2 linked regions of the Neurospora crassa OR74A genome follow. The protein of the gene in region 2 interacts with the protein of the main gene of each other region in a pairwise test. Links are inferred from orthologs where the notes say so. Each region holds a gene or a part of one and is shown on either strand. Other genes may lie near its edges. The genes, in order: trp-1 and trp-2.

Evidence for each region.
Region 1: the proteins of trp-2 (region 2) and trp-1 interact in binary tests that used the Saccharomyces cerevisiae proteins (3 or more experiments, as listed by UniProt). The link is inferred for Neurospora crassa OR74A from reciprocal best matches to the Saccharomyces cerevisiae genes TRP2 and TRP3.

The regions. Positions count from the first base shown.
Region 1 is NC_026503.1:2,982,455-2,986,903, forward strand, and holds the start of trp-1 (anthranilate synthase component II), read left to right. Parts: upstream 1-1,599; 5' UTR 1,600-1,786; intron 1,787-1,804; exon of another isoform or gene 1,805-1,884; 5' UTR 1,885-2,051; coding exon 2,052-4,340; 3' UTR 4,341-4,449. Other genes in the region: NCU00199 (hypothetical protein), read right to left, coding at 1-644.
Region 2 is NC_026506.1:3,652,831-3,657,299, forward strand, and holds trp-2 (anthranilate synthase component I), read right to left. Parts: upstream 3,009-4,469; 5' UTR 2,840-3,008; coding exon 2,664-2,839; intron 2,587-2,663; coding exon 1,014-2,586; 3' UTR 506-1,013; downstream 1-505. Other genes in the region: NCU05130 (hypothetical protein), read right to left, coding at 1-131; NCU17136 (hypothetical protein), read right to left, coding at 3,512-4,114.

The sequences.
Region 1 (4,449 bases), on a different chromosome or scaffold from region 2:
GCACTCGAGTGCAGCATGAAGGTTACGAGTGACTCGGCGGAGCTCACGAAGGACCGGCGTTCGGAGAGGTAGTGGGCCAGAATTCGCTGGCGGCGGCTGGCATCCTTCTCAAACTCGGCCCATGTGGTTTCGGCGTCGGCAACGGTGGAGAGGTTGAGGAGGACGAGAATGTTGGAAGTTTGCGCATCACTGACTCCAGCAGCTTCCTGAATATTGTCGATGTCCTGGGTAGAGAGAGGGCCGACGAGGTGGGCTTGTGGGCGCGACTGGAACTCGACTACGACGATGCGCAGGGCGGCAACTTCGCTGATGTTGACATTGGTGCTGAGCCATATGGCGTCGTCCCTGATGGTCTTGATATTGAATCGCTCGTTGGGCGTCTGGGTCACGTTGATGGCGGCGGTCTTGGTCTCGAAGTCGGCTTTCGTCTTGGAGGTCGGAGGTTCAAAGGTCTTGGAGGGGTTCTTGAGCAGGTGCTGGACGTAGGCATCTTTTAGAAAGGAAGAGACGGCATTGCTGGTGATGCGATCGCCCTGTTGGTCGGCAAGGGCAGAAGCGACGAGTTTCCAGGACAGTATTATGTTCTTGCCCGTCAAACACTCCTCCAGCGGAGGGAAATATGTCTTATCGGTCAAGGAGGCCATTGGTGATGAGGGTCTCCATCAGCGGCCGGGACCAAATTTGGGAGAATGGGTATTGGTGGGAAAAGGTTCCCTCGAGAAGCGGTGTTGTCGTCGGGGTCGTCGTCGTCGTCGTCGTTGTCGCTGCCGTCGTGTGGTCGTCGGGTATTTCTGGTCGACGTTCGATGAAGATGGACGAGACAATGATGTATAGTGAAACGAACTGTCGACCGGATGGGAAAGCTACCGTAGAGCTTTGATCCAGACCCGAGTCTCTGTCATATGGCGGCTGCTAATATGTGGTGGGAGAGGGTGTTGACAGGACGGATTGTTTGTGATGTAAATATTTTGGGCGGATTCGAGATTCCGTTGGTTGGTAGGTTGGGTTCCTTCAGTTTGCTTGGCTGCTCTGCTGTGGTATTTGCTTGACGCGCTTTCCTTCCTTGACTGACGCGGCTGGCAATGGTGGTGTTGTGTGCAGGGCACCTGTGAGCAGCAGCAGCAGCAGCAGCAGCGCGGGAGCTTCAACGCTTTTCCCGCCAAAGTCGAAGAATCGGGCGGCCAGAACCACGCGCGGGACCAAAGAATTCCCACTGTGTTTTTTTGCGACAGAGCACTCCACTGCAGTCCCGTCAGTGAGTGTACCACCTATGTCTAGGTAAGAATTTCCACTTTTGGTGGGGCCTCTCTCTTCGATAAGAGATAAGGGATTTCAATGTTTCAAAACGGAACATTCAGAACAACACCGCGCGGTTTGTACGGAATGACGGCGACGCTTGGGCCCTCTATTTTCTTTCTTTCTTTCTTTCTTTCTTTCTTTCTTTTTGTTCTTGATACAAGTTCGCAAAACGGGGGCTGGAGGTAAGGGGACTGTGAAGCTCACAAAGCTCGTAGACGAACATCCGCTTTAATACTTATTCATGTCGGTTTTGGGAAGCCATTGAGCCATTGAGAGCCACTTGCATCCCAGCGTTGAGAGGTGATTTGTAAACGGTTGTTCTAACGCCACTCCTCGGTCACATCTCTCATGGATGGAATTTACATACATTGTACAATACACAGCTCAAAGTAACTCACGCCTAAACATCGAACAAAGTGCAAGTGACTCACTCACAAAAGACACCTTGCGCAAGCACTTGTGAATCGCTTCAGGCTCAGATAGCCAGGTACGTATTGTAGACTCTCGTCATTCTGATTTCACAACAACGAAAAGAGTCTTTCTATTCATGGAGTAGTGATACTAACAGTACTTGTCCACAACTAGCTGTAGGTAGTGCTACTTCAGTTACTGCATCCGAAGTCGGGCGTCTCGGGGTTCATTCGTGTTTCGTTTGGTAATTACACTCAGGCATTTACACCACAGCTGCTGCACCTCGGACTCCTTCAGGAACACCCTCAATACTGCACGGCACTCTCACAAGTCCAATCACAATGTCGTCCTCCTCAGTCGTCGACCACTCTCCCCACGATTCCGCTCCTTCGCCCCTGGTGCCAACCGCCTCCAACCTCATCCTCATCGACAACTATGATTCGTTTACCTGGAACGTCTACCAGTACCTCGTCCTCGAGGGCGCCAAGGTGACCGTCTTCCGCAACGACCAGATCACCATCGACGAGCTCATCGCAAAGAACCCCACCCAGCTCGTCATCAGCCCTGGGCCCGGTCATCCCGGCACCGACTCCGGTATCTCGCGCGATGCCATCAGGCACTTCGCCGGCAAGATCCCCATCTTTGGCGTGTGCATGGGCCAGCAGTGCATCTTTGACGTCTATGGCGGCGACGTGTGCTTCGCCGGTGAGATTCTGCACGGAAAGACCTCTCCTCTGCGCCACGACGGCAAGGGCGCATATGCCGGTCTGTCTCAGGATCTGCCAGTGACGAGATACCACTCTCTTGCCGGTACTCATGTCACCCTTCCCGAGTGCTTGGAGGTTACCTCTTGGATTGCGAAGGAGGACGGTTCCAAGGGTGTCATCATGGGTGTCCGCCACAAGGAGTACACCATTGAGGGTGTTCAGTTCCACCCGGAGAGTATTCTGTCTGCTGAGGGTCGTGGCATGTTCCGGAACTTCCTTCACATGCAGGGAGGCACTTGGGCGGAGAACGAGAGACTGCAAAAGGCCGCCCAGGCACAGGCTGCCAACACAAAGTCCGACGCTCCCACGCCCAAGAAGAGCAACATCCTTCAAAAGATTTACGCCCACCGTAAGGCTGCTGTGGATGCTCAGAAGCAGATTCCTTCCCTGAGACCTTCTGACCTCCAAGCCGCTTATAACCTGAGCATCGCCCCTCCTCAAATCTCTCTTGTCGACCGTCTTCGCAATTCCCCCTTCGATGTCGCTCTTTGCGCCGAGATCAAGAGGGCATCTCCCTCCAAGGGTGTCTTTGCGCTTGATATTGACGCTCCGTCGCAAGCTCGCAAGTATGCGCTTGCCGGCGCGAGTGTCATCTCGGTCCTGACCGAGCCAGAGTGGTTCAAGGGCAGCATCGATGACCTCCGTGCTGTCCGTCAGGTCCTTAACGGCATGCCCAACCGGCCCGCCGTCCTGCGCAAGGAGTTCATCTTTGACGAGTACCAGATCCTCGAAGCCAGACTTGCCGGTGCTGACACTGTTCTCCTCATTGTCAAGATGCTCGAGTATGAGCTCCTCGAGCGCCTATACAAGTACTCCTTGTCTCTCGGCATGGAGCCCCTAGTCGAGGTCCAGAACACCGAGGAGATGGCCACAGCCATCAAGCTCGGCGCCAAGGTTATCGGCGTCAACAACCGCAATCTCGAGAGCTTCGAAGTCGACCTTGGCACTACCGGCCGTCTCCGTAGCATGGTCCCCAGCGACACCTTCCTCTGCGCTCTCAGCGGCATCAACACTCACCAAGATGTTCTTGACTGCAAGCGCGACGGTGTCAACGGCATTCTTGTCGGCGAGGCCATCATGCGTGCCCCTGATGCCACCCAGTTCATCCGTGAGCTCTGCGCCGGCCTGACGGGCCCCGTGCCCAAGTCCGCCGCCGAGCCGCTGCTTGTCAAGATCTGCGGCACCCGTTCTGCCGAGGCCGCTGCGGAAGCCATCAAGGCCGGTGCTGATCTTGTGGGCATGATCATGGTGCCAGGCACCAAGCGTTGCGTCGACCATGAGACCGCCCTTTCCATCTCCCAGGCTGTGCACATGAGCAAGAAGACCGGATCCACCGAGGTCTCCTCGCAAGCCTCCAAGTCCGCAAGGGACTTTTTCAATATCAACGCCGAGATCATCCGCAAGCGGGGACCTCTGCTGGTAGGTGTCTTCATGAACCAGCCCCTTGAGGAGGTGCTCGAGAAGCAGCATCTCTACGATCTCGATATCGTCCAGCTCCACGGTGACGAGCCGCTCGAGTGGGCCAACCTTATTCCAGTCCCCGTTGTCCGCAAGTTCAAGCCCGGCCAGGTCGGTCTTGCGACCCGTGGGTACCATGCCGTGCCCCTGCTGGATTCGGGCGCTGGATCCGGCACGTTGTTGGACTTGGAGTCTGTCAAGAAGGAGTTGGAGAAGGATGAGCAGGTAACCGTCTTGCTTGCGGGCGGATTGGAGCCTAGCAATGTTGTCGAGACGGTAAAATCTTTGGGGCCTCTGAGTGAGAGGGTGATTGGTGTTGATGTTAGCAGTGGCGTTGAGGAGGGAGGCAAGCAGAGCTTGGAGAAGATCAGGGAGTTTGTTAAGGCTGCCAAGTCTGTCAGGTAAAAAGCTTACGGTGCGGTTAAGGCCCAAAAATCAAGTCTCTTTCTTTCGGTATCTCTATATGGGTTCTCAAAAGGTGGAATTGTGATTATGTTCATGGTTCTGACGACTC
Region 2 (4,469 bases):
GCTTGATCTTGTGGCGTGTCTGTTGGGTCTGGATCTCGGAGGCGACGGCGCTTTTGAGGTGCGCTTTTGCGGATGCCCTGGGATCGGTTGCCTGTCAAGGGCTGACCTCTCTGAGCTCGAGTGCGGACCATGATGACGACCCCGGACGGCAGGGTGCGGACGTGGTTAGGTGGGTGTTCGACGATAGAGGATGGAGCGGCAAATGGCTTGCCACGTTGTAAAAGAAATGGGGAGATGAGTTGGTTTGAATACTACTATGCAGTAGCGGCATGTTGTTCGAAGAATGCAAGATGAAGTTTAACGACGGAATAGAATCATGGGCGCGAATGAGTGGCCAGCCCAAGGCGCGTTCAAACCCGGGACCCACTATTCCCGGTCGCGGCAACCGAGCCAGTACATCATGTCAGGCTGTGATGTGGTCTCACGTGTGACAAGCTCGCCCTGACAAAAAAGGTGGCACCACTAGTTGCTGCGTTGACTGCCCCTGTAGCACCCGAAAAAGTGTCACCGTTCCAATCACCTTACACCTTTTTTGGGGGGGTAAATTAAAAAAACAAAGAGATCTTCTCCTATACGTTAACCGATGCAATACCCGCCGCTGAATAGGAGGGTTATATGTCTCCAGTATCTCGGCCTCGTTAACTATCTTACAAAGGCGCCTTAGTCCCGGTGCGGCGGGAAGACGGGCGCTTACAGTGTATACCCCGGAAAGCGGAGTGTTAGCAGGGAGAGGCCGTTGGCCGGTTCGCTTTAGCCAGTCGGGGAAATAGGAGCCGGGGAAAAGAATTCGGCGGCCGCCGAGAAGGGAAGGGTATATCGATGCTCATGGGACAGTTATCGCCGACAGGGTGGGACGTAGGACAGAGCAGTGGACTTGGCAGACAAGGACACCGAGTTTCACCCAGACCACACCTATCATGGGAAGGCTTCAGCCTGCAGCTCAAACATTGATTCACCTGGTATCCTGTTTTGACTGAGCCTTCACAACACACACAAATACACCATACTCGCAATTACGCCCCAGCGCTCATCGTCTGCAGCTTGTACTGCTCGTCGCCCTTCTTCCTCTCCTCCTCAATGATTTCCTGCACCGACTTGGATCCCGTACTTTCGCCGTAGTACTTCTCAGCCAGTTCGATGCAGCGCAAGTTGGCGGCCAACTTGTTCATGGTCTCCATCCACTCCTCCGTCTTCTCACTGTCAAATACAATACCACCGCCCGCCTGTAGGTAGGCAACCTTATTCTTGACCAACATGGTGCGGATAGCAATGCAGGTATCCATCTGTCCTTCGCTCAAGAAAGTGGTAACAGGGGCATCACCCTCACCACCTTCGACGCGAATGACATCATAGGCGAACCAACCGGCAGCGCCAGCGTAGATGCCGCGCTTCTCCTTCTCCAAGTCGTAAATCAGCTCCATGGCACGAATCTTGGGCGCGCCCGACACGGTACCGGCGGGGAAGATGGAGCGCAAAGCGTCCCAGCGGGTGCACTCGGGGCGCAGCAGACCGGAGACCTCCGAGGTGATATGTTGGACGTGTGAGAAACGGTCGATGCGCATGAGGCGGTCGACCTTGACGGTAGACGGGTGGCAGACACGGTTGACATCGTTGCGGGCCAAATCGACCAACATGACGTGCTCGGCGCGGTCCTTGGTTGAGGCCAGCAGCACGGCCGCAAGCTCATCGTCCTCCTCCGAGTTGAGGCCACGCTTGATGGTACCGGCAATGGCGTGGTTGACGATCCTGGGACGAGAGCGGGCCTCGGCAGCACTATAGCCAAAACGGGTATCCGTGGGAAGGTCGGCATAGCCGTCGGTCTTCATCAGGCATTCGGGCGAGGCGCCAACAATGTGGAAGTCAGAGCACGAGAGGAAGAAGAGGTACGGCGAGGGGTTGAGCGTGCGCAGGGTCCGGTAAATGTTGAAGGGGTGCAGGCTGGTGCTGCGAGAGAAGCGCTGGGATGGGACGGCCTGGATGATGTCACCCTTGACAATGTTCTTCTTGAGCTCCGTCACAAAGGTCTCGTAACCGTGGCGCCCAACGTTCGAAGCGAATGTCTGATCGGCGACGGGAGCGCTAGAGTCCTTGGGCGGGAGCGGCGTCTCTGGCTGGTTGATCACTTCGAGTGTCGAGCGAATGCTGTCGCAAGCCGCGTTGTAGGCCGCCTCGAAGTCGCCGGAGGGGTCCTCGGGAAGTCGGACATGGGTGACGACGGTGAAGGCGGAGGAGAAGTGGTCGAACGCAACCATGGTATCGTAGAGCATGAAAAGGGCCTCGGGGATGTGTAGGTTGTCCTTGAGTTCGCGACCCTTGACCGTCCTGGGCTCGAAGTACTTGATGCAGTCGTACGAGATGTAGCCGACAGCGCCGCCCGTCAGCTTGGGGAGTCGGAGGGAGGGGATGCTGAGGACCTTGTCCTGGCTGAGCTCCTGCTCAAGGGCCTTCATGGGATCGCCGACATCTTGGTAGCCGGGGCCGGTCTCGAGGACCTTTCGGGGGTTGGCGCCAATGAAGCTGTAGCGGCCGACAGTCTCGGTGCTGCCAGTGGCGCTCTCGAGGAGGAACGAGTACTCAGCTGTCGCTCTAGCCGAGTGAGTCAATTGAGCTATTCGGAACGGGACACACGGCGAGGGGGAGAGAGGTTTGGGAGGAAGACGCACCCTGCGGAGAGCTTGAGGTAGATGGCCGAGGGCGTCAAGAGGTCGGCAGGCAAGGAGATGCAGAGGGGGAGAAGGGTGGGCCTTGGGGATGCTGTCGAGGTCGCTGATGCTTGGCATGTCTGGTCGAAGAGCTTGCGCGCGTCCTCCAGGGACGGCCTGATGTCGAGGGCAGCCATCCTGAACAACTGAACTGTAACGTCTAAGCAAAGGAAGGCAGAAACGGAAACAGGAACAGGAGGGGATTCCCTGGGTGGAATTGGCACAGAGACAAGTGGAAAGAGTCAGTGGATGGATGTCAAAGTGACAACTGAATGAACCGGTCGCGGAGGAGACGGGACGCCATCGATCGCAGCCGTGAAAGTGGCATGCTTCCACTTGCCCTCCAACGCTATACATAATTTTACACCGCCTGCCGCGTTTGGTGACTCACGGAGTGGGGCTTCCTGCCAAAAGGTGCCGGAAGGGCGGGGTTTGTTCCTGGCTGAACGCAACCTTGACGGCCGATAAGCCGATAAGCCGGCATCAAAGGTGTACATCATGCACCAAGTGACGCTGTTAGTGTTTTCACATATTGCACTGCCTCCTGCTAACGATTAGTGTCTAAGTGAAAAGTCGCTGTATTGATGTTATTGAAGGACTGTTCCGGCTTCTATCCAAGACACCAGTGTCTGTTCATTATTCATTACATGTTATTCTGTCCGGACACTATACAGTTTAGGGAAAGAATATGTTCGTATCAATCAGTCATCAATTCGTTGCCTCGTCAATCCGTTACGCATGGCGCAATGCTCTATCATCCTAATTGAGCTTCTCCTTCCCATACTCCCAATCAGCTTCCATTCTTCCCCTTAATACCTCGAAACACTAACACTGCGACTCCGACTCCTCCTACTGCTCCTCCCCCTCCGATCATCATACACATGAGTCGGGTAGGCCACCACAACCGGCACCTCGCGCATCGAAGACGACCTCCTCGAATGGCTCCGGTGCCTAGAATGACCCCGATGATGGCTATGCGAATGCCTCGACCTCGATCGTGAGTGTCTCACCCCGCCCACGTGTCTGGGCGGGTATTCATCCCTCACGTCACCGTACCAAGCCTTGCTGTTGCGCTTGCCGTGTGTCGGTGGAGCGCCCAGGTTGAAGCAGCTGCGGATAATCCAGATGAGAAGAAGCAAGCCGACGATGGAGCCGATGACGATGCCGGCAATGGCGCCGCCGCTGAGGGTTTGCGCGTCATCAGGGTCGTTGTCGTTGTCGTTGTCGACTTGGACGAAGGTTACCGTGGCGGTGGGCGGGGCATCTTGCCGCCGGGTGATGGGGCTGAAGGTTCTTGTAGGGTGGATGGCTTCGACTCCTTGGAGAGCTGGGTGTACGATCCGTTTGAAGACAAAGTCTTGGAGTTTCTCGGCCGTTGAGGCGGGTATGCGTGGGAGTGGTAGGGGAGCCATGGTTGATGGTTTGTTTTGACTCGCGGACTTGGTGCTCTCGCTTCTTCAATGTGATGGAATGTGAAGACTGTTGTGAAGACTCCCGAGTATAACAGGCGGGTGAAGGCTAGTTATAAGGGTCCTTCATCTTGAAGAAATGTGTCCCTGGCATCTTAGGAACCAATGTTGTTCATCATGTCCATACATGTTTGCCGGCTTTTCAATCTCGTCTTGGTAGAGATTGGGACCGGTGATGTAATTGTACATGATGGAGGGCATCTTGCATCTGCCGATGATATTTTTGACTCGTTTCTTGCTTGAGGTCGAAGCCTGGATTCTGAATGGTTAGTCACGGAAACATGGCTGGATACGCGAA